Linked DNA regions of Arabidopsis thaliana. The protein of the gene in region 4 binds, or shares a complex with, the protein of the main gene of each other region. Each region holds a gene or a part of one and is shown on either strand. Other genes may lie near its edges. The genes, in order: U1-70K, SR45, RSZ22a and U2B''.

What was found.
Region 1: U2B'' (region 4) and U1-70K share a complex: the UniProt entries of both Arabidopsis thaliana proteins name them as parts of the spliceosome.
Region 2: U2B'' (region 4) and SR45 share a complex: the UniProt entries of both Arabidopsis thaliana proteins name them as parts of the spliceosome.
Region 3: U2B'' (region 4) and RSZ22a share a complex: the UniProt entries of both Arabidopsis thaliana proteins name them as parts of the spliceosome.

What each region holds. Positions count from the first base shown.
Region 1 is NC_003074.8:18,822,916-18,831,299, forward strand, and holds U1-70K (U1 small nuclear ribonucleoprotein-70K), read right to left. Parts: upstream 6,770-8,384; 5' UTR 6,578-6,769; coding exon 6,479-6,577; intron 6,174-6,478; coding exon 6,059-6,173; intron 5,989-6,058; coding exon 5,909-5,988; intron 5,819-5,908; coding exon 5,743-5,818; intron 5,656-5,742; coding exon 5,591-5,655; intron 5,497-5,590; coding exon 5,434-5,496; coding exon of another isoform or gene 5,317-5,433; exon of another isoform or gene 4,525-5,316; coding exon 4,443-4,524; intron 4,345-4,442; coding exon 4,131-4,344; intron 4,051-4,130; coding exon 3,561-4,050; 3' UTR 3,245-3,560; downstream 1-3,244. UniProt on the Arabidopsis thaliana protein: Mediates the splicing of pre-mRNA by binding to the loop I region of U1-snRNA.
Region 2 is NC_003070.9:5,675,043-5,683,233, forward strand, and holds SR45 (arginine/serine-rich 45), read right to left. Parts: upstream 3,811-8,191; 5' UTR 3,645-3,810; coding exon 3,445-3,644; intron 3,323-3,444; coding exon 3,251-3,322; intron 3,168-3,250; coding exon 3,085-3,167; intron 2,897-3,084; coding exon 2,850-2,896; intron 2,764-2,849; coding exon 2,683-2,763; intron 2,593-2,682; coding exon 2,424-2,592; intron 2,335-2,423; coding exon 2,112-2,334; intron 2,041-2,111; coding exon 1,975-2,040; intron 1,836-1,974; coding exon 1,686-1,835; intron 1,454-1,685; coding exon 1,387-1,453; intron 1,278-1,386; coding exon 1,240-1,277; coding exon of another isoform or gene 1,236-1,239; exon of another isoform or gene 1,145-1,235; coding exon of another isoform or gene 1,135-1,144; exon of another isoform or gene 965-1,134; coding exon 883-964; 3' UTR 806-882; downstream 1-805. Other genes in the region: AT1G16630 (uncharacterized protein), read right to left, coding at 7,170-8,191. UniProt on the Arabidopsis thaliana protein: Involved in 5' and 3' splicing site selection of introns, and may bridge the 5' and 3' components of the spliceosome. Isoform 1 is required during flower petal development and isoform 2 is involved in root growth.
Region 3 is NC_003071.7:10,446,399-10,453,189, reverse strand, and holds RSZ22a (RNA recognition motif and CCHC-type zinc finger domains containing protein), read right to left. Parts: upstream 3,560-6,791; 5' UTR 3,487-3,559; intron 3,365-3,486; 5' UTR 3,354-3,364; coding exon 3,265-3,353; intron 3,176-3,264; coding exon 3,087-3,175; intron 2,992-3,086; coding exon 2,742-2,991; intron 2,650-2,741; coding exon 2,524-2,649; intron 2,367-2,523; coding exon 2,330-2,366; 3' UTR 2,006-2,329; downstream 1-2,005. Other genes in the region: AT2G24600 (Ankyrin repeat family protein), read left to right, coding at 1-760. UniProt on the Arabidopsis thaliana protein: Probably involved in intron recognition and spliceosome assembly.
Region 4 is NC_003071.7:12,904,845-12,909,674, reverse strand, and holds U2B'' (U2 small nuclear ribonucleoprotein B), read left to right. Parts: upstream 1-2,009; 5' UTR 2,010-2,240; coding exon 2,241-2,313; intron 2,314-2,652; coding exon 2,653-2,825; intron 2,826-3,425; coding exon 3,426-3,519; intron 3,520-3,632; coding exon 3,633-3,721; coding exon of another isoform or gene 3,722-3,781; exon of another isoform or gene 3,782-3,848; coding exon 3,849-4,118; 3' UTR 4,119-4,330; downstream 4,331-4,830. Other genes in the region: AT2G30270 (LURP-one-like protein (DUF567)), read left to right, coding at 618-839, 1,030-1,230, 1,523-1,648; WRKY25 (WRKY DNA-binding protein 25), read left to right, coding at 4,586-4,822. UniProt on the Arabidopsis thaliana protein: Involved in nuclear pre-mRNA splicing.

The DNA.
Region 1 (8,384 bases), on a different chromosome or scaffold from region 4:
TTTCCATAGTTTTTTTTTTTTTATGTGCACCGTTTCCATAGTTTTCTTCAAATTAGTTTTCTCTAATGTTTTTTTTTTGTCAATTACTAGCATATAATTCGATATATAATTATCTTTTTTGTTGTTGTATGTCTGTTTCATTTGATTCTCTAAACTCGGAAAAAGACAAAGAAAGTGACCAACCAAGTTATAGACCGACTTGATTTAAATGGCGCGATCTAGTGGCGCACGTAGCTAGTATATTAATCTTGGATTCAATTATTTTTGTCGACGATCCATAAATTTGATATGACTTAACAAAAGTCAAATTTTGTTGACTGAACTAAAAGGTTTAGTCGGATCGAGAGAGATAGAGATGGCTAGAAACAAATGGGATCATCACTATCTCTATCAAATCAATGTGACAAAAATCTCAATCATACATATACTTGTTAGGTACGTTTCTTTATTTTAATTCTTGTCTTTGTTCTCTCTAGAGATTAGATCGATTCCAATCACTTTGGCTTTTCTTCGTATCTCTCGAGTTCTCGACCGACAAATATACCTTTAAATTAATGCAACATTTTATTTTTACGATCTCTGTCATATCAGATTCTTCCCTTTTCTCTCCTTCGTGCACACGAATGGATAGTATGTATAAACCAGTTCTCTACCTATCAAAGACAAATTTTGTTTTGGTAAAGCGTAGTTCGTCCAAATATGATATTTTCTTTCGTATTTCAGGATAACAAAACAAGTGGACAATCGACTTACTCAACATGGAATTATTTTACTCTAGTTTAGTTTCTTTTTAACATATTTTTTGTTTGTTTGTTTGGTGTAAAAAAAGAGTAAATCGGAGTAATGAATTTTTGTTTAATATGGTTCAGCCATATTAGAAATTTAAACCAATCACACCCATAATTAAATGATCGAAATAGCAAATGTTATAAGAAAATCGAATAATATAACTAAATAAAAATCTTAACACTAAAATAATGACTTGACCGTCAAAAAATGATAACTGCAATTAGTAGTTTGATAAATTTTATTAGTGATCACCATATTAGATCACATTCAAAATTAAAAAAAAAAATATGTGACGTAAGTTGTAAAATACAAACCAAAAGATACTCTTTGAACATAAATGGGAATCGTGTATATTAGATAACATTAGAAAAAACAGTGAACTCAAAAACTATTCATGTACTCTATGGTAAGTAGCTTCAGTCTATTACCACTCATACTTCTTATGGATGAAATTACTTCATGATCACTTACACATAAATACGATAATGGCAAGTTTAAATCTGATTACAAAAATAGAAATTTAGGTGAAGATATGAAGAAGGGTGCATGGGGGTTCCCCCACATCCACCTGCAAAAGTTATGATTGCATTTCAATCATTGCCCACGAGCGCAACCAACACGTCGCTCTCTTTCCCTTCAATTTCATTTTTTTATTTCATCTCTATCGGTTTTACTTTGCTCGATATATAAGTTTATATGTATTACAAATTTCTCATGCTTTGAATCATATCGTCCCACTACTTTTTGGAATTAGTCATTGCTCACAATGTTTGACTCTTTTCCTTCTATTCTTTTTGTCTTTACCTTCTCCGTTTCAGAAAGGGTTTTGCTAGTTATGCTAAATGAATGATTAAATCGAAATGATACGGCTAGATTTTTTCTTTTCTACTTCGAAATTTTTCTTGTAGGCTTTTTAAAAATGGAAAATTGTATAATTTCTGAAAATTGTATTGAGCTAACAATTTTTATGGAATGATTTGCGATAAAGCACATCACAATGCAGAGTTTATTTTGCGTATAATATATAATTTTACACTAGTTGTTTGCATGAAAGTATATATTTTCTTGAGATTTTCTTTTCCCGCAGTAACCATTTACTCGCTCTTTATAGACAAAACATAATTATGTAATTAGCAAAACAAAACATAATTATGTGGAGAAAAAACCTAAGAAATGGAAAGAGGAGGCTAAACTTAAGATAAAGCCCCATGAAGCAAATGATTTTGAAGTAAAAGAAACAAAAGTTATGTGTATGTTTGGTTAATGGCAAACATTAGTAAGACAAATTCTAGATTGTTTATAAAGAAACAATTTAAAATCATGGCTTGCATTTGACTGTAGTAAAAAAAGACTTTACAAACTACAATATACATAAATAAACGACAAGCATTATTATAATCAAAAGAAGAAAAAAAAGTTGAGAAAGAAGAGAAGAGAAGAGTGTTGAGTTGTTGCTTGTTGGATCCTCTTTAAGTTTTCGCATGGGGTTAACATTATAGCAAATTCTCCTTTTACTTTCGGCTCTGGTCCCTTTCCAGATTTCATTTTTGTTATTATCATAATTAGTGTTTTTATCCACCGATCTTATTCTTATATTTTATTTGTCATTGTTTTTTATAAGCATTTCTGAGATATAAAGCCAGTTGGGCTGAGATGTGTTAGCGATTGTTACGTACTGCTCATGAATGTGGATGGGTCATTAAACCAAAAAAAATAAAAAAATGTTGATGGGTCGTCACTCAAATATTCAAATTCATCTTATGTGTTGTTACTTGCTATTTTCTTTCATCATAAGCAAATTTTTGTTTGAACGTTGCCTAATATTGCTTACAAAGAAAATGAAAGATGTGTAAACATTCATATGTATATTATATTATATGTCTACACATTAATGACGTTTTAAAAGAAAATCCACATGTTAATACATAAATTATTCGGTCTCTAGATGTATGAAAATGGCATTGACACTCCCAAAAGAAAAGAGAAACATTCAAAGCGCTAACATTGAGTAACTACGTCAATCAGAACGATCATTAACCAAACAAAAGTGTAAAGATCTAAGAAATCATATGGCTTGCTTTTTATATTTAGAAATAATTGCAAATCTATTTTACAATTCCATCACGAATACGACCCCTGAGCATGTGTCCCAACCTAAGTAACAAGAGTCGTGTTGTATTTGTATATAATAATAATTCTAAAAATAGATACAGATATGTGTATATAAAATACTCAAACGTACGAAGTGTTTGACCTTGGATTTTAGTAATGTTTTCTAGCAAATGTGAAACCAAAATATTCAACAATAATGTCATAATGAAAACCATTAACAAATTCCATTGTCGTCCAGCGGTTAGGATATCTGGCTTTCACCCAGGAGACCCGGGTTCGATTCCCGGCAATGGAGCCTTTTTTTTCCTCAAATTATCTCAAAAATTCACGACTATCAATATATCCTCTCTCTAAACATATCAATCTATTATATGCTAAATAAAATAACATTTCAATCATGTTTTCACCAATAAGTTTAATAATTGACCGTTTCTAGGCACATAAATCATCACATGTATAGTAGTACTGCATAAGAAATAATCAATAAAACATCACAACTTTAAAGTTGGTTTGATTTTGATTAATAATATGACAAACTTCAAAAGAGAAAAAATAGCAATCAAGTTCAGAGGTAACAAACAGAATTGCATCAAGTTTTGATTTAGAATAAACAAAAAGGATTCTTAAGTTTTTAGAGTTTTAAACAGCCGAATGAAACATCAACGAACATACTCTCGCGATTCTGATCTCTTAGACCGCTTGTACTCACGTTCATATCTGAAGTCATCTTCCTCCATTTTATCGTAGCGATGACTGTACCGGTCTGTGTCCCCTTGATCGTCTTCATAGTAGCCACGAGTTTCTTCTGGCTCGCCACGGTACTCTGCATCTCTCTCACGGGACCGACCACCACCCTCATGCTCATATTCACCTCCTTCATAATCCCGCTCCTTCTTTCTACTGCGGTCTCGGTCATGATCCCTTGAAGTACGATCCCGTCCCCTGTCACGGTCACGGCGGTCTCTGTCTCCTCTGTCACGGGTCCGGTCACGATCACGTCTGCTGTCCCTATCCCTGTCTCTGCCTCCTTGGTCTCGGTCTCTGTGGTGCTTATCCTCTCTCGGTCTGTCACGAGACCTCTCTCGAGGTTGTTCGTGAGACAGCTCACGAGACCTTTCCCTTTCTTTTCCCTTTTCCCGAGATTTCTCACTGGAGACAAGGTAACAACATTATCAGCACAATATTAGTCACAAGGCAAAAGAGTTTGGTACGAATGAAAATATCTTTACCGCTCTTCCCGTGGTCTCGATGGCTCCTCTGACTGGGAGGTTCTTCCTTGCGGTTGTTGTTCCCCAACAATTTCTTCACCACCACCCACTCTTGAGGTCCCAAGTCCACCACCAAGCCTGCGTGGACGCCAGTTTGGGACGGTTCTACCTCTCTCCACATCAACCAAAACTCTTCTGCCGTCAATCTTTTGTCCATCAGCTTGCTTATATGCAGCTGTAGGAAGAGTAGCAAAACACAATGCAACATCAGTATAAAGAGCAAACATCTCAGGGAGATAAAAGAGGGTTGAAAGAAAAGAGATGTGAGGGCACCTTTCATGTCACGGGTGTGCATGTACTCAATGAAAGCATATCCTTTGGGTTTATTGGTCAGCTGATCAGTCACCAAATGAACCTGAGAAGTTTCAGAAGAAGACAATTAACAAATCAAATCTGTGAGAACAAAATCAGATTCAAGATAAAAGTGTTTCATATCAAACAAACATGCAGCTCTATAAGGCAGGCAACCTTTATGTTGTGTCCAAATCCGAGAATGTCACCACCCACATCAAGAATTGGCAGAAAAATGGATGTATTGCAGCAAAATTACCATTTTTGAAGAGTCTAATAAACCACCCCTTACCAGGGTATAGAAACTTAGATAACTAAAAATGTATTAAAAAGTGAACCAGATCACCTTCATAGTAGCCCAAGTCCCAGATACTGAATATATATAGATGTTAAGATAGGAAAAGAGAGAAGGGTTTTCGATAATCCAACCTTGGTTGCTTGAAAATAAAGCATTTGAATGGCTTTGGGATATGGGCAGATAATATTTTATAAGTTGCTTACCAGCAGGATGAGTTGAGCTCATTATAGATTCAGAAAACAACTAATTGATTAGGTAAACCGTGTGCCTATAACCACTATATGATATATCATTGTAAAAGTATTTGCTCTCTGAAGGGACAAGGAAATAAAAATACCAGGCCAAATTTACCGAAAACATCTCAAACAAACACCATGGAGAGAGGAGCTGTGTCATTATATGAGAAGCACTTATGCATCTATATATTCAGTTATTGAGAAAGGTCTAAGAGACTTGATGGCTTTACACAGTCTAAAGAAGGCATGCAAAACAAAGCAAATGTAGAATGGCCTTTTGGTCTAGCAGAAAAGATGCAAATTTATAAGGGACTGAAAAATTCTAACCTTGGAAGACTTTTGTAGATAAAATAAAACAAATTGAGCAAAGAGCTCTAGAGAGGGAAGCCATTACACAAATTCTTACCGAACCAGCAAGGGAATGCTCAGAATAACCTACCCGTTTAATTGGTCCATAAGATTCAAACTCCCTTTTAATCTTACTCTCTGAGGATTCGTAGTTCTGCAAGACAAGAACAGACCAAAGTTAAGCACAACATAACTCAGATGTCTAACAAAAGTCATTCAACAGTAAGAAAAAAAGAAACACAGCTTACAAGTCTTGAAACGAACAATGTCTTGTATGGATCTCCAGTAGCATTTGGATCATTATTGGGGTCATCTGCATATAAAAAAAAAACAAATTAACTAAGAATTCTCAAACCTAAGAGGGCATTAAAAGGAACACAAATAACATATAGTAGATTACATTTCTTTAAGTCCTCAGCAGCCTTTTCAACACCTTTCTCCAGTCGCAATTTATGAATTCTTTCCCTTTTCTGCGACTGGACAATGAAACAAAACAAAGCTATAAGCCACTGATTTAGGGTTAAAATATGGCAATAATCGAAAGAGTTAAAGGTGCATCATCATACAGGTAATTCAACTTCTGGCTTAGGTGGAGCGTATTCTGGATCCCCAGGCTCAGCAAAGTTACTTACAAACTGAGCCATACCTATATTCAATACACAAGACAAAATCAAATCCAAAGCAAAGAAAACATAATCAGATATACAAGTTGATACCTGTATAAGGCGGGCACTTTCTCTTCTCTGGTGGTGGTTTGTACTCCAATGGCGGACGTGGCTCAAAAAGCTTCAAGAGATTGTTTGTTAAGCCAGTAGGGTGGCTCTGACCCATCTGCATATCAGATAGATCCATTATATCAGCTTTAAAGCAACAAGATATCAATCAAACTGATTCAAAACTATAAAACAAGCTCAAGAATCAAGACCAATATAATCAAATCATATGACCTAAAATCGGAATCTCAATTCAATTTAGAACTAGCTGATGAGTGTTACAACGCAATCGAAAATAGAACCGAAGCAAGTATCAAACGACTTAAGAGTATTCCAATTCATTAGCTAGAAACCTAATAGACAACGAAACTAAAATCTAGAGAGTAATCACGAATTCAGCGAATTTAGAGAGAAGAGACGAACCAGCTTAAGCTGAAGAACATTGGCTCTGTTCTGAACTTTAGCGCGAGCTTGAACAGCGGCGTTTGGATTACGCAAGAAAGGATCGCCGGAGTCTCCCATGGCGACAAAAGGGATCTCGGAGCTGTGCTAGGGTTTTTCGTGAGGAAGCGGATGGAGGATTTTTGCAGAGAGAAGAAGCAAAACTAACAAAACCCAAATTCAATCTCTAACCGGATTCTGATTATTAAGAAAACCGAGTTGAGATCCAACAGATCACGATACGTAAAACGATGCCGTGCTCGTATATCTCGGTCACACTTTAACCCACTCGCTGAACAAGAGGGTTATCAGCTTCAATTACCTTTTTTTTTGGATTTTACAATTTTTTGTTAACATGTCAAATTATTGGTTTTGTAGGCATTCGTTGATCTTTGGCTCCCATATTTTTCTAAAATCCATTAACAAAAAACATAATTAAAATAGATTCCAATTTTATTTATTTTTACAATAACAGGCTCTAAATTTTTAAATATTTTAAAGTAACCATAATAAGAAAAATTAAGCATTTCCAAATGACCATCACTGATTCACTTCCATAGGATGTGGCTCTCCATCCAATGATTTTGTTAAGTATGATGGAACCGAGGTTGGAGATCTATTGAACTTGACGGGCACACCTTTTACCATTGGTCTCGTGCGCTAACAGCGTAATTGTTGTTGGTTGCAACATCAAAGCCTTTTGAGAAAAAATGAGCCAAGAATAGTTGGTTGCGTCTCCATTTGTGCACTACAGCACCAGAAGCGAGAATGGATAAAAAAAGGTTGCAATGGCTATAGATGCTGCAGAAAGAAAGAACCTTATGTGATCGGGCATGTAACTGGTCTCTTAGTATACAAGGGGATAGTAGAAACACAACAATAGGCGAGGGTGCAAAGTGGCAATTTTAACAGACGAGTTTGACATATACCCTTCCTCAAAAATTAGTGATACTCGATGGATTTATGCGATGAAACGTACGATAGTCCACCTACAATGGTCAATTCAAACTGTGAATCTCTCATCTGTCGGGTGCTCACATCACCGTTGCAAGTGCCATATATAACCTGACGGATTATGAGTACGAGATTGGATATTCAGTTTGTGCATGTTCCAGTGGTTACAATGTAACCCATAAGATCTTTTAGGTGGATGCAAAGTGAGAAACTGACTCGTTCTGTTTTCTTGTATTGTGGAAAATGCTTGCTTATTATAATTATGTGGTTTTTCATCTACAGATATGGACGAGTGTAGAATACTCAACAATAATGGACGTCACAAATATTGTTGCGAAGGTAGCATGTGTGTTAACACTCGGGGAGGGTACCATTGCGTGTTCCACAAGAAGAAGACGTTGCCAATTATCATAGATTCATAGGTATGCAATTTTATCATTCAGATTTATGTATTCATATAATGGGACTGATGACTCCCCTTGGTAACTGCGTTTGGCCATCGTAGTAGAAATTGTTGGAGCCTTGTCGCACCTGAACTTAGGCGCCTTATTGGGGATATATGTTATCCGATTAGGATTAGTACAATATCTTTGATGATAGAGTTTCTAACCTATATTTTAGGGATTTATGTTTATCTCTTGATAGAGATCATTGTATATAAATACCATAGTTTGTGAATCAATAAAATCAAGTCAGTTCAATACCTTATTCTACATGGTATCAGAGCAGTCGATCTTTGTGGATCATAATTAAAGCTTCCGCATTATAGATTTTGTAATCAAGAAAAGATTATGAAGATGGTGATCACTGAAGGAGAAGACGGTGCCTCCGACGGTGGAAATGAAAACGACGAAGATGTCGGCATGTTAAGGGATGGAGGTTACGTGATTGTTTCTTAATCACATGGGTATTATTTTTCCAAAACTTTAAGTCG
Region 2 (8,191 bases), on a different chromosome or scaffold from region 4:
CGTTGTCTTCTTTCTTAACACTTGCATAGTCTCTTTCCGTGTAAACAAAAACGAAAGTGGTTATTTCAAAATTATTGGTTCCAAGTTAGAAATTTGACTACATATTTATATATATTTTTAATAATTACTAATCATCAATTTACAATTAGAAAACGGAGATTATCCTCAACACTCTCTTCCAAAGATTCAATACATACAGGATCAGAGAATGGTGTGTGTATTTATTAGATTATAAAAACAGAGTTGTTGCTCTGTTGTGCAGGAAATGACAGGAGTGTTCATGAAGAACTGTTTTCTAAACTATGTTACCTACAGAAACATCTTCCCCATATGGGCACTTGCAGAGTGGTATGTATATTTATTTTCTTTGAGTGGTATGTACTGTGTGAAGTTGAGGAAAACTCTATTTTTCGTTTTAAATAAAAGTTTGTGCACTCTCATTAAGATGCATGGTTTGATGCAAAATTGTTGTTGTGCATCTTAGGAGCCCTTAAATTATAATTATTTATTTCTCTGAATGAAACAAAAAACCAATTTCTTGTGTATTTGGATCACCAGTCTTTGTATGGATTTCTTTCTCTTTTAACTAAAATAATAAGAAAAGGGTGAAGGAGCCAGCCATTCTTCAACAAGACTGAATATATTAGGGAATTACAACCAGCTAAAAGAACCAAGTCATTATCGTTGCATCTAATGAGGAGATCCACAAAAGAAGATTAAACATCCAAACACTACAAAAACCACAACTCTCATTTGGTCACTGGTAAACATTTTATCTGTTCTAAGAAAAGAGGCTGAGACAGATGATAACGATAAAGATGGAGAAAGAGAGCTACATCAAGACTCAAGTTTTTTTTTTTTTTTTTTTAATTTTTATCACCTTTAAGTTTTACGAGGTGGAGGTGGTGGTGGCGGTGAACTGCTGCTGCTGCTGTTACTGCTGCTTCTTTTTCCTCTCAGTGGCCTAAACATACCCAACAACAACCCATTTTCTTTTATTAGACTTCAACGCAAAAAATTTCTACACAACAATTCTATTTTTCTCTGTTTCATCACCAAACTCACCAAGAAAGTATAGGTCCCAGATGTTTATGCTATGTCTTTTATCAGGAATTGGGGTAACCCTTAACTTTACTATACATAACTTAACATTGGAACTTCTTCAATTAATGCATTCTACAGACTATAAAGTGTTTCCAGTTTAAGACGAGGATTAGTGTTAAGACAGAAAGTGTTTACCTCTTAGGACTGCGGCTCCTTGAAATCTTCCTAGGAATCTGTAAGGTTTAATAATGCACAAATGATAGAAAGTCAAGAGTCAAGACATATAACTCGCAAGGCATCAAAAATTTTATAGCTAAAAAGGGATCTGCAAGAAGCCCTTACCCTTCTGGGACTTGGTGAACTAGAGTAAGAAGATGACCTCCCACGTCTCCCAGCTGGACCTCGTCCCCTGCTTACAGTTAAAGACAAAATTAATTCATGAACAAACCCCAGACGGATCTATATAACTTAGTCATATTGGGTATCAACGTCTCTAGGAGCTGGTATGTCAGAAACCTAGGTAAAAGGATAAGACAATGTAGGATCTTGGGGTATACTCATGAATTATGAAAGACTTAAAAACTTGTTATGAATCAGTCTTAGCTATGCATCTGTAACAAAATAAAACCCACGAGAGAGACCCCAGAAAAAAGTTTAAATGAGTTCCAACATACTTGCGGGGTGAGATGGAACTTGAACGAGAGCGACCAGGCCTACGAATTGGGGATCGGCTACGCCTACGGATTGGAGATCTTCTGGGAGGACTGCGTAGTCTCCTTGGAGGTGGAGACCTGAAACACGCCGAATACAAAACATATATAAAACTGACACATTTTTCCCGGTCTAATTTACTGAGTAATATAGTCTATAAAGCTGTGATTCCTAAACTTCGATTACTAAGGGTGTAATTCAGGTACCAAATAGACATACCTTCGTCTTAGAGGAAGAGGAGACCTTCTTCGAACAGGACTGCCACGAATTCTTCTAGGGGAGCCCCTGCTGACAGATAAAAGGTGAGCTATCGAATCTGAAACACACCAGACAAAACAGATGGTGCCATAACTAACCTTGGAGGAGATCTATATCGTCTTGGAGGGGGAGAAGATGGAGAACGGCCTCTAGATGGTGATGCTGGCCTACGTCTAGGAGGTGTATCACCGCGACGGCGGATAGGAGAGCCCGGCCTCCGGCGATGGGGAGAATCAGGTGATCGCCTTCTAGGTGATAAGCCTCTCCTAGGTAGAGGTGATCGCCTTCTCGGAGAAAGCCCTGTTTTCCGTTGAGGAGATGCTAAGCACATATTGATGATACTAATTAACACAACATAAAGCATATACTACAACAATTATAAATAACCAAAATATAAGGATTTGACATACTCTCTCTTGGGCGCCTGGGACCACCATCTTTCTCAGCGTCAGCAGCAGCATTATCAGATTTTGGAGCATCTCTTTTTGGTGCAGCTGAGACAGGTTTAGGGGGTGAAGATACTTTCTGACGAGGTGGTAGTGTGAACGTTGCTTTAACAACCTTTCCATCAATTTGGGCCTGTGTTCAGTGAACAAAAAAAAAACATGCATAAATCTTCTCTGTCAATATGTCAAGTACAGTGCATTTCATAATTGGAAAGAGACATACACCATCCATGTAGAGCTGAGCTTTCTCAGCATCAGCTCTTGCCTTGAACTCAACATAACCATGTCCTCTTGGAAGATTAACCTGTTAATAATATTCAAAGGAATTATGAGCAGATTTCAACAAGTGATGCAAGTAAACAACAGAGAGTAAAGAGAATAGCAACTTACAGCTCGATCCATCGCAATTTCGACATGTATAACTTCACCAAAGTTGCCTAATAATAACATGAAACCAAGCCATGTTATAAGACTTAACATTTAGCCAACACAAGGAAAACAAAAGACCAGTGATGATCGTAATGCCGTATACACTACTGATGACATTAGCGGACATGTGTAGACAGTTATCATGTAGTAAGATTAGAAGAAGCAGAAGAAACAGAGAAAAGAGAAATCAACATACCAAAGATTTCTTTGAGATGGGCTTCATTCACATTCCTGCTAAGAGAATCAACATGGAGAACAAGAGATTCTTGAACAGCTTTCCTGAAAGCATAAAAGATTGTAAAGTCAGTAATGACGAAAGCATAAACACTAGAATATATTTATGTGAACGAGTCAGATATTACTTGGAAGGTGAAGATGCTCCTTTAGATGGTGGAGGAGGAGGAGAGCGACCTCGCCTAGCAGGTCCAGCAGGACTACACAAGAAGATACATCAGAACATCAATTCGAATTCGAGCTGAACGAACCAAGAAGAATGAAAGCGAAATTACACAAATCCAATTCGAACAATTGGTAAGTGATTGAAAGAAACCCTAACCTTTTTCCACGACGTGGAGGACTGCGACTCCCAGAACTGACGCTTCGCGAAGGAGATGAAGATGAAGAGAGCGATCTAGAACGGGAGCGTGAGCGGGAAATAGACCTGGAGGGGCTCGAACCCGAACGAGATCTGGAACTGGAACGAGATGACGAGCCAGACACGGAGGGGGAACGACGGCCACGACTTGGTTTCGCCATGGGCGAGAGATATCGAGAAAATCGCGAGAAACCTTGCTTCAAAACCCTAGCGGATAAAAAAGATTAGAGGAGAGAGACAGACAGACAGACTGTGACTTTTTTTTTCCAGTCTCCTTTTTTTTTCCGCGGACTGCAAATTAAACCGAAGATGATACGTGGCAGGTTTTTATTTGCTTGATAAATTGAGGGATTTATATGTTTTTTAAAGCATTTTATAAAGTATAAATACCATAATGAGCTCAATTTGTGTCCTTTCCCATTTTTCATATCAGATTTGAATGTGTCACTAATCAAAAGTTCTTCAAATCCTACAGGAAAATTCAAACAGAAAAGCTAGTAACTCCCATAAAAAATTCAACAACTTATAAAATGTTGTAATCGATTGTCTGTGGTCGTGTACACCATCCAATTAGGATCAATTAGATACCATTTTTCTATAGCTCTCTTGTTGTCCCATAATTTGTTGATATTGTTGTTGCCTTGGTACAAACTTAAGAGCAATCTCAAAATCAAAGTATCTTAGATTGAATCTAGTCATTGAATAACACCGAAACCATTAAGGTTTATTCATACATCTATATAGAAGTGTCAAATGGTCATCTGACCATGGGCTAAGCCCAGTCCACAACATTATGGACAGTCCATGGTCGGCCCGTAATGAAAACGGGCTATATGGTCTAAAGACCAATTTTGTCCATGGGTTTAATGGGCTAGCCCACACGGTTTATGGTTGGCCCATCAATTTTTTCAACACATAAATTTTTTTCTCTTCTCTCTCTTTCGGCAACGACGCTCTCTCTCCCGGCGACAAAGCTCTCTCTCGGCGACGACCAAGCTCGACCTCTCTCTCAACTCCTACTCCGGTTAGTTCTACTAGCTTGTGGGTTTGTCCAAAGTTCAATTGTGAATTTTGGATATGAGGAGAGCTAGCTAGCAAATGGGCACTTTTCAGATTTTGTTTATGTTTCGCCATTTCGAATTTCATTATGAATTGAAGCACATCAATATGTAGAGACCCTTTGTGTTGTAAGTTCATGCTTAATTATTCCAGAAGGCTAGTGATTTAGTCAAGTTCATGCTTTATTTGTTTATCACTGCTAAACGTGTGTATGTCTTTATTTGTTTCAGAAATATGGAATTGGATACTCAAAACTTGGTTGATGAAGACAACTTTAATCTTGAGGATCAAGAAATGGACCATGAAGATCCAGAAATGGATCAGATACTACCTCATGAAACTGCTTCTTCAGGGACAGCTGAGAGAGGTAAAAGTAGTGTAAGTAGATTTCGTGCTGCATGCTGGAAAAACTTCGATAGAGGACAGAAATATCCTAATGGGAAAACTGAGGTTACATGCAAATATTGTGAGCAGACTTATCACTTGAATCTGAGACGAAATGGTACTAATACCATGAATCGTCATATGAGATCTTGTGAGAAGACTCCTGGAAGTACACCTAGAATTAGCAGAAAGGTGGATATGATGGTCTTTAGAGAAATGATTGCAGTGGCTTTAGTTCAACATAATCTTCCATATTCGTTTGTCGAATATGAAAGAATTAGAGAAGCCTTTACATATGCTAACCCTTATATAGAATTTTGGAGCAGAAATACTGCAGCTTCTGATGTCTACAAGATTTATGAAAGAGAGAAAATTAAGCTTAAGGAAAAGTTAGCTATAATCCCGGGTAGAATATGCTTAACAACAGATTTGTGGAGAGCTTTAACTGTTGAAAGTTATATTTGCTTAACAGCTCATTATGTAGATGTTGATGGTGTTCTGAAAACGAAGATCTTATCTTTCTGTGCTTTCCCGCCTCCACATTCTGGAGTAGCTATAGCAATGAAGCTTAGTGAGCTGTTGAAAGATTGGGGAATTGAGAAGAAAGTTTTTACTTTAACTGTAGATAATGCTTCTGCAAATGATACTATGCAAAGCATTTTAAAGCATAATGCTTCTGAAAATGCATTCTTATACTTAGTGAGAATTTTGTTTTGTTGGTCATATTTCAGGGGTTTTACTCTTACTTTTCTGAAAGAAATGGAACTGGAAAATCACCATTAGATATGTACTTGGAAGAGCCTGTGTTAGATATGGTCTCTTTTAGAGATATGGATGTTATTGCATATTGGAAAAACAATGTCTCGCGTTTTAAAGAATTGTCATCGATGGCATGTGATATCTTAAGCATTCCGATCACTACCGTGGCATCGGAATCAGCTTTTAGTATAGGTAGTCGTGTGCTTAACAAATATAGAAGCTGCCTTTTACCTACTAATGTGCAAGCCCTCCTATGTACTAGAAACTGGTTTCGTGGATTTCAAGAAGTTGGTAATATTCACATCTTGAACTCGTTTATAATAGTAAACTTATATGGCTTTTGGACTGCAGCTTTTAGATTAATAGCTCGGTTTTTCTTATTGAAGAAACTGATGAGATCCAAGGTCAAGAGGACACAAACACCACCCTTGCATGAACGTTTCAAGACTGGGAAGAAACAAGTACATGGTTGTTCTCTTAAGCTCTGAGCCTATGGTTATGTGTTTATTATTCTCAGTACATGGCTGATTTGATGATGTATGTCTTTGACAGATTGTTATAGGTTGTGATGGTATCCGGTCTAAGGTTGCAACTTGGATGACAGATTTTGGTTTGGAATTGATTCTGGATTTTGTCTCTTACTTATAATCATTTGTGATTGATTACATTGTGGAAATGTTGTTTAAGCTTATTGTTTTACCTAAGCTTATTGAAGATGGCCACTTCTGGTTTCCAATTTCTAGATGTTGGAGTAGTATTGAAATGGGTTTCTCTGTTAAATCATTCTCCATGTAGCCATTGTAGGCTTTTTTCTTTACTTGTAGGTGCATATAGAGAGTCTTAGATGCGTGTTTGAGTTGTCACGGTTGATTACAAGACTGGGAAGAACAGGTACATGCATGTTTGATTTCATGTTGATGTTATGGTTTTATAAATAGAGCTTTTGACGAGATTGTGTGAAAATGCATTGTATATAAACATCATTGTATGGGCTGGCCATGGGCTGACCATTGGACAATGGTCTTTAATGGTCTTGGACAAATTTTTAGACCATTGTCCATTAAAGACCAACCAATAAAACCCATGAAAAAAATGGTCCAAGTGGACATGACCAATGGGCTTTGGACAGCCCAATTGACACTTCTACATCTATATAAACTAATCTGATTTATCATCATAAAACACTTCCAACGCCATTTGGTCCTATTCTTGCAAAACCTTTTACAATCATGAATCATGGTGTTTGAAAATTGTCCATCGTTTTTGCAAGATACAAAGAAGAGGATTCAGATAACATGAACAATATTATTAAAACTAGGCCACAAGGTTGGGGTACAATGTCTTAAACAAATAGTAAAGCCAGAAACTTTAAAGAAGAGAATCAAACCTACTAATTAAGAAAGCAACATACTAATTAAGCTTCAGTGAGATGGAAAAGCCTTCCTACAAATCAGTAGATCATAAAGTCAAAAGCTAATTCTAACTCATTGTCCAGAATGTTGATGGTTCCTGATCCTGCTTGAACGTCTCACAGGTGTTATCATCTCTTTCTCTTCGTGACCACTTCTCTTTTGTATCTTCTCATATGTTGTGAAACTTCCATATGAAACAGAACCTATGGAGTACTCTGATGCAGAGGAAGCCATGGATTCACCGCTATCATTACTCTTCTTGCCTCCTCCTCCGCTTTGATGTTCTTTAAGATCATCTTTCTTGTTGCTGCAGCTGTGTAATGGTTTGTTCTTACTGAAGCTGAAACTCATCTCAGAAGGGAATGATGATACCTCTCTTTTTCTGTCATCACCAACTTCTTCTTCTTCTTCCTTGAAATTCAATGAAGAAAGCCTTTCTCTGATCAGATTCTCTACTGGCACATGCTCGACAACTTTAGTTGCAGAGATTGCTGTTGGTTCGCCATCTTCATGTTGCAGCATCACAGGTTTTGTCTTCTTCTTGGCTAATAGGAAACCAGCTGCTACTGCTGCAAGTATAACCATCATAGTCGAAAACAAGACTAACACTTTCTTCTGGCCACTCAACAAAATGTCCTCCGAACCTGCATCATTAACAACTTCACCAAACCCACTCTCTTCTTCTTCTACTTCATTACCGTCATGTTCAACATCTGTAGCTTCTTCTGAAACACTGAGGCTACCTCCAGCAATTTCCCCAACACCTTCTTCTTCTTGTACAGTTTCAACATTGGCTACTCCGGTTTGTTCTTGCTGGTTACTACTGATTGCAGCAGACTGCACATCGTCAAGCAGTTGTGCGTCGGATTCAGCTTCTTCCATGTTATTCTGGTCATTTTCTTCATATTCTTCCTGCCCTTCAACAACATCAGTTTCTTGGCCACCATGTCCTTCTTCAGAAAGAGATTCTGAATACCTTTCACCTCCGTTCACCTCTGTATCTGTAGCTATCTTGATCTCAGCCTGCTCATCACATTCATCAACAATTTCTAAGTTTACCTTTCCTTCTTCATTCTCCTGCTCGACTTCATTAT
Region 3 (6,791 bases), 2.5 Mb from region 4:
GAGAAATGAACCACACATAGGGCATTCTGAGGTAATAAGGCTGCTTAAGCTAATCGAAATAAGCACATCAGAGATAGCAGAGAGAAAGAAAAGCAAGAAACATCATGTTAAAAGAGGTCATAAGAGCTTGGAACATGAGATGCATATAGAAGCATTACAAAATGCAAGAAATACGATCGCGATAGTGGCAGTCTTGATTGCTTCAGTTTCTTATGCCGGTGGGATAAACCCGCCGGGCGGTGTTTACCAAGATGGGCCATGGAAAGGGAAATCGCTTGTAGGTAATACGGCAGCATTTAAAGTCTTTGCAATATGTAACAACATTGCATTGTTCACGTCCTTGTGCATTGTTATTCTTCTCGTTAGCATCATACCTTACCAGAGGAAACCCTTGAAGAAATTATTGGTGGCCACTCACAGGATGATGTGGGTTTCTGTAGGGTTTATGGCAACGGCTTATGTTGCGGCATCTTTGGTGACCATACCGCATTTTCCCGGAACTCGATGGTTATTTCCGGTTATTATCTCTGTAGCTGGTGGATCATTGACGGTACTCTTTTCCTATCTAGGAGTTGAGACCATCAGTCACTGGTTTAAGAAGATGAATCGTGTAGGGAGAGGACTACCTATTTATTTTATCAAAAATAACCGTGTAGAAGATATACCTGCCATTGCAAAAAATGAAGGTGAAATGCCTTCCTTAGCAAGGACCAACTCAGACTTGGCCGCCTCAGAAGGGTCAGGCTATTTCACCTATTGAATCTTTAAGGTAAATTTTCTACGAGACTACTCTCTCTGGTGCTCGAGCTTTTACCGTGGTGTTTGCAGCCTATCTTATGGGTTTTGAGTGTCTAAAGTGATTTTCTTGATGAGCTTCTTCTCCTCACAGGGACCGGCACAAGATTTACTTGAAGCAGATTTATATTGCCATTGTATGATGCATCCCTACTTAAGGAGTTTCGTGTAAACTGGTCTCACCTATGTTATCTCTATCATTTAAAGTCCAAAAAGAATGAAAAATGTTGTCAATGATGTTTTACATGTTTTATATCAATACTCAGTACATGTTTCATCAAAAATAACAACTTCAAATCTAGTCACTTGAATAAGTACGAACACAAAATTGCTCGATTCTAGTTGTTAGGAGATATCGTCGTCATCATGTTTAGTTGATTATGATGATAAGTAAAACATATGACAACAAAGTTTTGCTAAATATAAAAAGTGAACAAACTCATGAAGTTGGATATCTGTAAATTATTTTTCATAAAAAATAAGTATTTTCAGGACACAACAAAACAGGACAAAGATAAGAAACTTATGAAAATCTACTCCTTTTACTAGGGTTTTAAACCAAAGCATCATCAGAAGAGGAGGCAGCCAAAAAGCCTTCAATAAAGACAGAATGATCCTTGAATCAAACATGATGAAATTGAAACCAATGAGCAGAAAAATCTCTCGTTTAAAGATTAGTCCATGTACCAAACGTGATGAAACCAAAGGAATGACTATTGCAGATGGCGATAAGTGTTTATCCAAGTGCCCACCTCAAACAAAGCAGAGACGTTCTACATACTCTAAACTATTCTACACCGTAAGACAAGTTTCTTCGAAGCCTGCCTGAAAGGTATTAAATACCTGCCAGAGTAGCAAGTGCAACTCCTCGGCCATTTTAAGTTCAAGAAAAGCAAGACCAGCAATCATCAGAGCCGATGAAGTTTTCAAACATAAGAGCATCTAGATGAGAAGCAGAGTAGATGTGAACTAACATAAAGATCCCAAAGCAGGCCGATCAAAATAACCAAGAAGCCAGAAGCAGTTAAGCAATGAAGCAGAAGTAGTGGTAAACAATTATGAAGATCCCAAAGTAGGCAGATCAAAATAACGAAGAAGCGAGAAGCAGATAAGCAATGAAGCAGAAGTTGTGGTAAACTACTATGAAGATCCCATAGCAGGCCGACCAAATTAACCAAGAAGCCAAAAGCAGATAAGCAATGAAGCAGTAGAAACCTGAAGAAACCTCGAGATGATAGAACAAAAAACAAAGAAAATGCATAGGTTTTTAGCAGAGCTTTTGTTTATGTCTTTTAAGAACATGGGTAGATATTTAAAAGTACTTTACCTAACGGCAGATACAACTATGGCTTCATAATCCAAACGCAATAAGAAGCTTTCCAGCAATTCAAAAGTAGCAAGCATATCCAATCCACCACACAGCTAAAACATATTCTCTTAGTGAAATTCACAGATACTAATTTCCTCTCCTCTTGACGTCACAAGCAAATAGTTGTCTCCTGATCCCATAATTTGCTATCTAGACAAGTAACACTCAGCTCCGGCTTCTGCGCACATCTTTCAGACCATTTCTGCATAAACAAATACAAAAACTTATCAGCCACATGGACTCTGTTTTTTAACACAACGTCTAACAAAAAAGTCTTTGGGACGATAATGCCACTAGTTCAGTTTCAATTTCTTATATTGATTGAGATACAGTAGACTCAAGAGCAAGGGGAGTTTTACCCATTAGCATATGGCACCTCGTCACGTGCTCTATAAGGTGGTGGTGACCTACTGTAGTTGCGACCACGAGGAGAAGGACTACGACGTCTTGGAGGAGGAGGAGATCTAGCACGAGGGCTGTAACTTCTGTGAAACCAAAAGACAAGGTAATAAATCAATGAGGTAGACCAATTTCTTTTAGTTGCAAATCGTCAATCAGAAAGAATAGGGACAATAACCTTCGTCCTCCATAGGTAGGACTCTTTCTGTATCTAGGAGGACTGCGACTACGGCTGCGGCTACGACGCCTACCACCAGAACCACCACGAGAACGACATTCACGTGCAAAGTGACCAGACTCACCACACTCATAGCACTTCAAATCAGAACCACCACGTCCACGACCACCATCACCTCCTCCACGACCACCACCACGACCTCCACCACCACCACGGTTATGAGACTGCTCTACCCTCCATCCATTCTTGCCTACCATAACAATATAGATCATATATATATCAAACTCATAACAACTCATAACAACTCATAAAACCAGACCAGTAGAATAGAAGACCAACGAATACCATCTACTTCACGGATGGCGTCACGGGCATCTCTTGAATCTTCAAAATCAAGAAAAGCGTAACCAGGAGGTCTTCTAGCAACCCAGACACTGCACAGACACCAAAAGAACAATGAGGATAAATGCAAATTCACACACTTTACATCAACTAAAAACCAAAAAGGAGTCAATTTATGTACCTCCTGATCACACCAAAGGAACGAAACTCATCCTCGAGTTCACGTTCAGTAACTCGCGGATCCAAATTACCAACATACACACGCGACATCCTCAAGTTACCTATCAACAAAAGGCTTCAATTCAAAAACTTTGAAAGCGATGAATTCAAAAAGATGAAATCTATAGATCGAAACTACGAATGAATCTGGAGTAAAGAAGTGACAACGGAGATCGGGATTTACCTGAAGAAACGGCTTTGGCTCTTTCTCTTGCTCGTCTGTGAGAAATTAGGGTTATCGATTCGAAATTGAAGATGAAAGTTATTTTTTGTGGGTCAACTTTAAATGTCCTTCAAAAGTTATTCCTTGATTTGGGCTTAAAATGGGCCGCATGCGATATGGTACAGTAACAATAATGCCTCATATTCATGCAATTACTGATTATAAAATTAAAATGTCAGATGTTAAATAATAATAATTCAAAATTAAAAAAAAGCTCTCAGCATATAAAAGGAATTCAAAAAAAAAATGAGTATCACTCTTAAGTATTTATACGATTTTCAAAAAAAGTTGATAAAACTTACCGAAAATACAAAAAAAAAAGAAATTGAAATCTACATAAATCCCCAAAAACTACAACACAACACAAGGAGAAAACACTAAGAAAACACAAGCGAAAACTTCACAAGTAGAGATCCTGAGAAAAACACTGTTTCTAAACCCCAAATTGAAATCTCGTCGTAAATTCAAATTTTAATTAAAAAATATAAAGAAAGCTCTTTTCTATGTCCACTGAATATTTTATGTAAATGAAGAAAGCTCTTTTTATGCTCATACTTTTATGTATATACTAACCCATACATCTCAGATGATGAGGATGAGAGAGGAAAATAAAACTTAAGAGGGAGACTATTTGACCCAAAAAAAAAAAAAAAAAAAAAGAGAGAGACTATTACCTCTAGTTTTTGAACTAAGTGAAGAAAACTATTTCGTTCAAATTTTTATTTATAATAATAATTCACTCATTAAGCATCACAAATTAGACAATAGATGCATCAGCCTATTTGTAGGCCTAACCAATCCTCTACTTTATTCATCGGAATCGATCACTAGATATATAGTCGATAGGCAAACAAAGATATAACCATAAAAACCAATTTTGACACTATTATTTATTTGCGTAATGCTAGTAGGTGTGTACAAATGAACATAATTATGACCATGACAACGGCATGGTAACCACTCATGCCTCGAAGTTCACCTTCTGCTACCAACATATTTCCATCACATCATCCTAGCATTATTAAAGAGGCTAAGATACAACCTTTTAGCTCTTCTAATGCTAATAATCCTAGCATCATCCTAGCATTATTAACTGAGTGCATCTTTAGCTCTTCTAATGCTTTTTCTAGAGAAGAAATGGTTTGAATCACCCTTATTTTACTAATAACATATTTGGGTTTAAGATGAGTTTCTAACTTAAAACCAATTGGCAATGAAACTAATCATTTATAAGTATATTACTTGATAATTTTTCTAATTTTCGAGTGTAACTTTCTCTCATTAACAACTAACCATTCGATTATTTTAAGAACTTTGGTTTTGATACGGTTCAGTTTGGTCAGTTATTAAAATTATTGGGTTTTTTTGCCCATGCCTATATCTCCCAAAATCACAATATTCAAATAAAAACTTTTACCACTTGAACCATGGTTCTAGTTTAGAATGGTTTGTTTGGAAAAGACAATAGAGGCTAAATCGTAATTTTGTGCTTTATCACTTATGAGTTTCACTTTTAAATCAGTCACTTAACAAAAACCGGACGTGACAATATATTATGTCCAGATATTAATTTGGGATTAGCCTATAACATCCAATCATTCCCAAGAGCAATGATATAATTTTGTAGTTTTTTATTTACTATTTAGTGCGCACCTTTCTTGAACCAAGACTCCATTCAGTGACAGGATTAGATAAGTATGTGTGTATTATTGAAATGTCGTCGAGAGTCCACTTGAAGTTTGAACTATGACGACAAGAATTATTCCTTTTCTCTTCTTTCTATTCAGATGGAGAGAAGCTCACCTCAAGATTTTTAAAACGGCACTCAATTACGACTTATTTTGAGAAATAATTAATAAAATTTATAAATTATTACGTGCTCTATTTTATAATTTTTCTCTTTTTTATAGGTTTTAAGACATGAAACACTGCTTCTATGTTTTTTTTTTGGTAATCAACACTGCTTCTATGTTTGGTGAAGACATCTTGCAAATGACATTACATAAATCATAGAAATTAGTTTCGATGTTATTCTAATTAAATCCTAAAATATGGACAAAAAAGAGTGATTCTATTGTTCAAAAAGAAAAAGAAGAGTGATTCTAAAATTATAAGCTAAATATCGATTTTAGAATGTACAAGTTGTTCCTACAAATTGCTAAATATTCTTTTAAGAGTGTCCCATTCATATAAAATGTAAGATTTTTGTTAATAAACTAATAACCAGTGGATAAGGGATTTTGTCTTTTCGAACAAAAACGAATGGTGAGCACTAAGAAAAGAGCGAAGTGACTCTATATTCATTCCACCATATTCCCCAAGAATACAATTGGTCAAGAACTTCACAATCACAAATTCACGATCGCTATGTCATCCTTTTAATATTGCTATCATCCCTCTAATTTACTTTCCATTTTTTAAGATCATGAAATTTGAAATGTCACATATACATCCGTTGTAACTTTTTTCTAGTCAGAAAAAAAAACGACTCGTGTTTACCAATTTGGAACAGAATCACACATTTAGAAGGTAAATTTTGGATCGAAAAAACTTTGCATTTTGTTGAAACTCCCATGCAACTTCACAGTTCCAACAAATATCTTTAGAGATTAATATATAGCATTAGAAAACCAACTAAATTTTGCGAAATTACACATCTAAAATTCGCTTGAGAGACTATTTACTTACCAAAAATCATAGAGATTAACGATATTATTTGTGTATTCACATTATAGGAGATTGAGAGATAATGTTATTAACGTTATTAAACTATTAAATTAACAAAAACGTTTTTGTTCAGCGAACGGGAAGGAAGAGGGAAATAGTTTACGTTACCACTAGTTTATGTTGAAACAGTTTTGGCCGAAAAATAGGCCATCATTACCACTATAGGCCATTCCGAAATAGTTTACGTTGTGAAAGTAATATCGTGCCTTATTTAGTACAAAGTTGCCCACTAAACTTACGAAATCGAATATTCCATAGTTACAAAGGTTAAAAAACATATAAAATCATTTACAACCAAGTCCCAAAGTTTTTGTGCTAGAGAAATATTTATTATTTAGGCTTATTTGGTGGTAGATAACCAAAATTAGGTTTATTTGGTAGATAGCCAGAATTTTGAGGTTTACTTGCAAAATATGATAAATTATAAATAATGAGATGTTAATTTCGCGGATTTTTCTTACAAATAACTTAATAATATAAATATTTTTATTTATTTAAGTGTTAAATAATACAATAATTTTTGTTTTGTTTTTCCGCCT
Region 4 (4,830 bases):
GTGATGTTTTGAACAGAGTAGATCATCATATATATATTCTACAGAAAACATAAAAAAAAAATAAAATCAATACATTTTGAAAGATTATACATAATTCTTAGTTTTTTTAAAACAAACATTTGAGAGGGATGGAAATGCAAAAAAAAAAACCTTTATAAATCAATTCATGTCAAAGGTATGTTCACTAAAAATGTATCTTTTCCAACAAACACATATGTTAAACCATACGTTTTTCCAACCTAATGTAAGTAACACATTTACCATTTTCTATTAATTTATTAATCAAGATCAAACATCAAAAAAATGTGTTATTACTTTTTAGTTTTTTTTTTTGCATTTCAGTTTTGTGTGAAAAAAAAAACAAGAATTGGTATCTCAAGAACGTAAAAGAAAATTATCATTACTATTTTATTATCTTTGGCTTCTACATCCAATTATTTACTTGCTTAATTTTATTCATCTGAATTATTTTTTGGTGTAAGAAGAATGTTTCGCCGCAAAAAAAAAAATCTGATCCGACATCATTAGAACAAAAAAAAACATTGGCGTTGAATATAAGCTGCTTCTCTTGTTCTTCTTCTACCTTACGCTTCTGACTGTTATTAGAGACTATGTAAATGGCTGATTCCGAGACTCCGTATCACCCCGACCCTGAGGATCTCCGGCGTATACCAGTCGATCTCTTCGCTTCCAAAAAGCTTCCCGGACTTTCCTCCGGCGATCTCGGATTTGCCGATTCTTCCGAACATCTCGTCTTCATCCTCCGCAAATCTTCTTCCTCCTTGAAATCTCTCCTTGATTCCTCCGGAGTTCCTCTCTTCTCCATCTCTCGTCTCCACGTAAGCCTCCTTCGTCCCAAATTTCATCGATTTTGGCAATTCTCATCGCTACTTGTTTAAATCTCATTATTCATTACATAGTCCACACGATGTTTATACTTTTTGATTGTTTGGGTTTTGTTAGTTAGTCACTGGCTTGAGATATATCATAAGAACACTTACAGATCTTTGTATATGTATTGGAATGTAGAATGGAGTGTGGGAATTACATAAAGGAGATGTGGAAAAGCGTAAGGATTTGGTTCTAACGGTGAAGCGGACATCGAAAAGATTCAGTAAGACAGAGTCAGAGGTCTCTTTTGCTGGAGAATCGTCCGAAAATCTTGTTATCAAAGGTGTTCCCTTTCAGAAATCTTGTACCATTTATAGTCAAGATTCCATTGTTGCACAGGTAAAGATACTCATCTTCTCCCAATTACAGCACTATTGAACATTCTATAGCTAGACAAGAGTCAATACCGTGTTATACTGGTTTTGATTACCGGGTTCAAAACTCATCGTTTGGATCATGCTTGCTGATGGATAAACAACCAACCCTTTGTTTCGTTCATTTGAAGTCGGATTCATTAGGCTTGTAAAATTTGCTTGGATTCTAATACACTTGTTTTAAAGATTTTTGTTGTTGTTGTTGTGTTTGAACATTTGCCTCAATCTGATTTATGTTCCTTTAAATGTGGTGGCAGACGAGTTTGATGTACAAGCTGAGACAGATTTACGTAGGGAGAAGCAAGTTCCGGTTAACGATATTTCCTGGATCCATCGATCATTCACTAGTAGTCGCAATGGTTGCCATATTTCTTCAAGGATGAAAGTGAAACATCCTCGATTTATTTTCTCAGTGTAAAGAAAAATGTAACACAGAAACAAAAAGGCATTTTAGTACATTGCATTTTTAATGCCTTTTGATTCAATCGGCTCACACGTGAATTGTATTATCTATCACATGAATATTGAGATATACTAAGGTCTAAGGTTAAATCTTTTTTCAGAACAAATTTGCAAGCTCAGCTGGAAAAATACAACATCATTTACATTATTTTAAAAAGTTGTTGAACATTTGAATCAAAATGATTCACAAGACTTTTGTTGGAATTTTGCAATAAAAAAATTGATCTCGAGTCTATAAAAGTCCAATCCCGACCACTCATTCTATTTCCGGTTCAATTCTGTCTAGCCGGTCAAATTCAAATCCGGTCCATCCGGTCGGCTCATTCACGTTGGTACAAAAGTTTAGGAAATCGAACCAACAAACTAAACGGCGTCGTTAAATAGTCTGATGTTGAAACGCAGCTATTTCTTTTACTCTTCTTCGTCTCTCTCATTCCCAGTTCCCACCATTAGGGCTCTCTCTAAATTCCTCAGTCTCGAGAATCTTCATCGTCTTCACGAGCTCACTCGAAGATGTTAACGGCAGATATACCACCGAATCAATCAATCTACATCCAAAACCTCAACGAAAGGATCAAGAAAGAGGGTAAACTTCTCTTCTCGTTTAATCTAATTCGTCAAGTAAATTTCCAAATTCTTAGATGTTGAAACCTCCATGAACTTCCTGTACCAATGATTCAAGCTTCTACAGTACTGAATGTTAGGGTTTTTGCTTGTTTTTAGCTTATATAGAGTGTTCGTTTCTAAATACTAGGGTTTCAGAATCGTATTGAATCTAGTGACAAGGTTATAAGGAAGATATATATGTTGGTGTTGTCTGTTTTCGCCATTGTATGGATAATTGTTATAGACGTGTGAAGTAGTGTTGGCTCAGGGCAGTATCATCAATCTCATGCTTTATCTGACTTGGTTTTTGTTTTCTCAGAATTGAAGAGATCTCTTTACTGTTTGTTCTCTCAGTTTGGGAGGATACTTGATGTGGTTGCTTTGAAGACTCCGAAGCTCCGAGGACAAGCTTGGGTTACTTTTAGTGAAGTCACTGCTGCTGGTCATGCTGTTCGTCAGATGCAAAATTTTCCCTTCTATGATAAACCAATGGTCAGTATTTCATCACTCTTGAGTATATCAATCTCTTTATAGTTTCCATGAAAGTGATCTTCTATGTGTTGTATAGATCGATAGAAGCAAATCGTTAGTGTGTTTGTGTAATTGATTACTAACAATTTGTTTTGGAACCTTTGACCTTTTTCTATTCCCAATCCATTGGTAGTCATATATGTGTTTAGATTTTGTTGCTGTTGATGAGTAACCAATGATTAGTATCCACTACCTTTTCTGTCTTGAGTATATCAATCTCTGTATAATTTCCCTGGAAGTGATATTCTGTGTGTTGTATAGATTGATTGATGCGGTAAAAGCAGAAATCCTTAGTGTGTTTATGTGATTACCAATGATTACCTTTGACTGTGTTATTCTCAATCAACATTTAGTTATATGTGTGTTTGGATTTTGTTGCTGACCTTCTCAAATCACATTCTCTTATGATTTCTGTTGTCAAAATGTTTGTTCTGTTTGATATATACATTGTTTTTATAACTAAATCTTACCTCTTTCGATTGTTTGTAAACTATTCAACTACTTCCAATCAGGTTGAGATTTATTATTATTCATACTTTTTATGTGATCTTTTAAGTGCAGCGCTTACAATATGCAAAAGCAAAGTCAGATTGTCTAGCTAAAGCTGAGGGAACTTTCGTTCCAAAAGATAAGAAGAGGAAGCAAGAAGAAAAAGGTTTTAAACTTTATTTCTTCTTTTTGCATTTTGTCGTAGATGTTGGTTCAATGATACAACTATAAAATTTTCACTTGCATCTAAAGTTAACAAACTTCCTTTCTTACTTTCAGTTGAAAGAAAGCGTGAAGATTCCCAACGACCAAACACGGCTAATGGCCCAAGTGCTAATGGTCCAAGTGCCAATAACGGAGTCCCTGCGGTAAGTGTTCTTGTTCTCACCTTCATCTTCAGAAAAATCTTCCATTGTTGGATCATGTGAACCAAACTATTGTTATCTGGAGATGATGCTGATGTTTTGCGTTTTATCTCTGCTCTTCTTAATGCAGCCTTCGTTCCAGCCGAGCGGGCAAGAAACAATGCCACCAAACAACATACTCTTCATTCAGAATCTCCCACACGAGACAACAAGCATGATGCTACAGCTTCTCTTCGAACAGTACCCTGGATTCAAAGAGATAAGAATGATCGACGCAAAACCAGGAATCGCGTTTGTAGAGTACGAAGATGATGTTCAAGCTTCCATAGCTATGCAACCTCTTCAAGGTTTCAAAATCACTCCCCAGAATCCAATGGTCATCTCTTTCGCCAAGAAATGATAAGAGTCTTGTTTTTGTTTGTTTGTTGTCCTTTAAGACGATAGTACTGGACCAACCAAACCTGGTGTGTATAACCAACCAACGGTTCTATTGGTTAACGGATTAATCCGGTTTTGGTTTAATCATTGAAAGAGACCCTTGAAACGCGGTTTCACACTTGACGATTTATCACAAATTAGGAGACGACTCATCAAAAAAGAATATCTTACTGGTCAACCATTTTATAGAAATATTAAAATCAAAAATGATATTTAGGCCAAAGTAGAAAAAGACAAGAAGAGAGAGAAACAAAAAAAACCTTGCTCAATACGCCACCGTCGTCGTCTTTAACCCAATCTAAAAGCCTCTGTTCTTTTTTAGTTTTATCCTCTTTTTCATTTCAAGATCAATTTCATAAAAAAGTTTCCTTTTTTAGCGAATCCTCTGTTTTAGAAATCTTAAAGTTGTCTCCTTTATTAAAGACCATCATGTCTTCCACTTCTTTCACCGACCTTCTTGGTTCTTCCGGCGTTGACTGTTACGAAGATGATGAAGACTTGAGAGTTTCTGGGTCGAGTTTTGGTGGGTACTATCCAGAGAGAACCGGGTCTGGTTTACCTAAGTTCAAGACGGCTCAACCACCACCTCTTCCGATTTCACAATCTTCTCATAACTTCACTTTCTCCGATTACCTTGATTCTCCTCTGCTTCTCAGCTCCTCACACGTAATAAA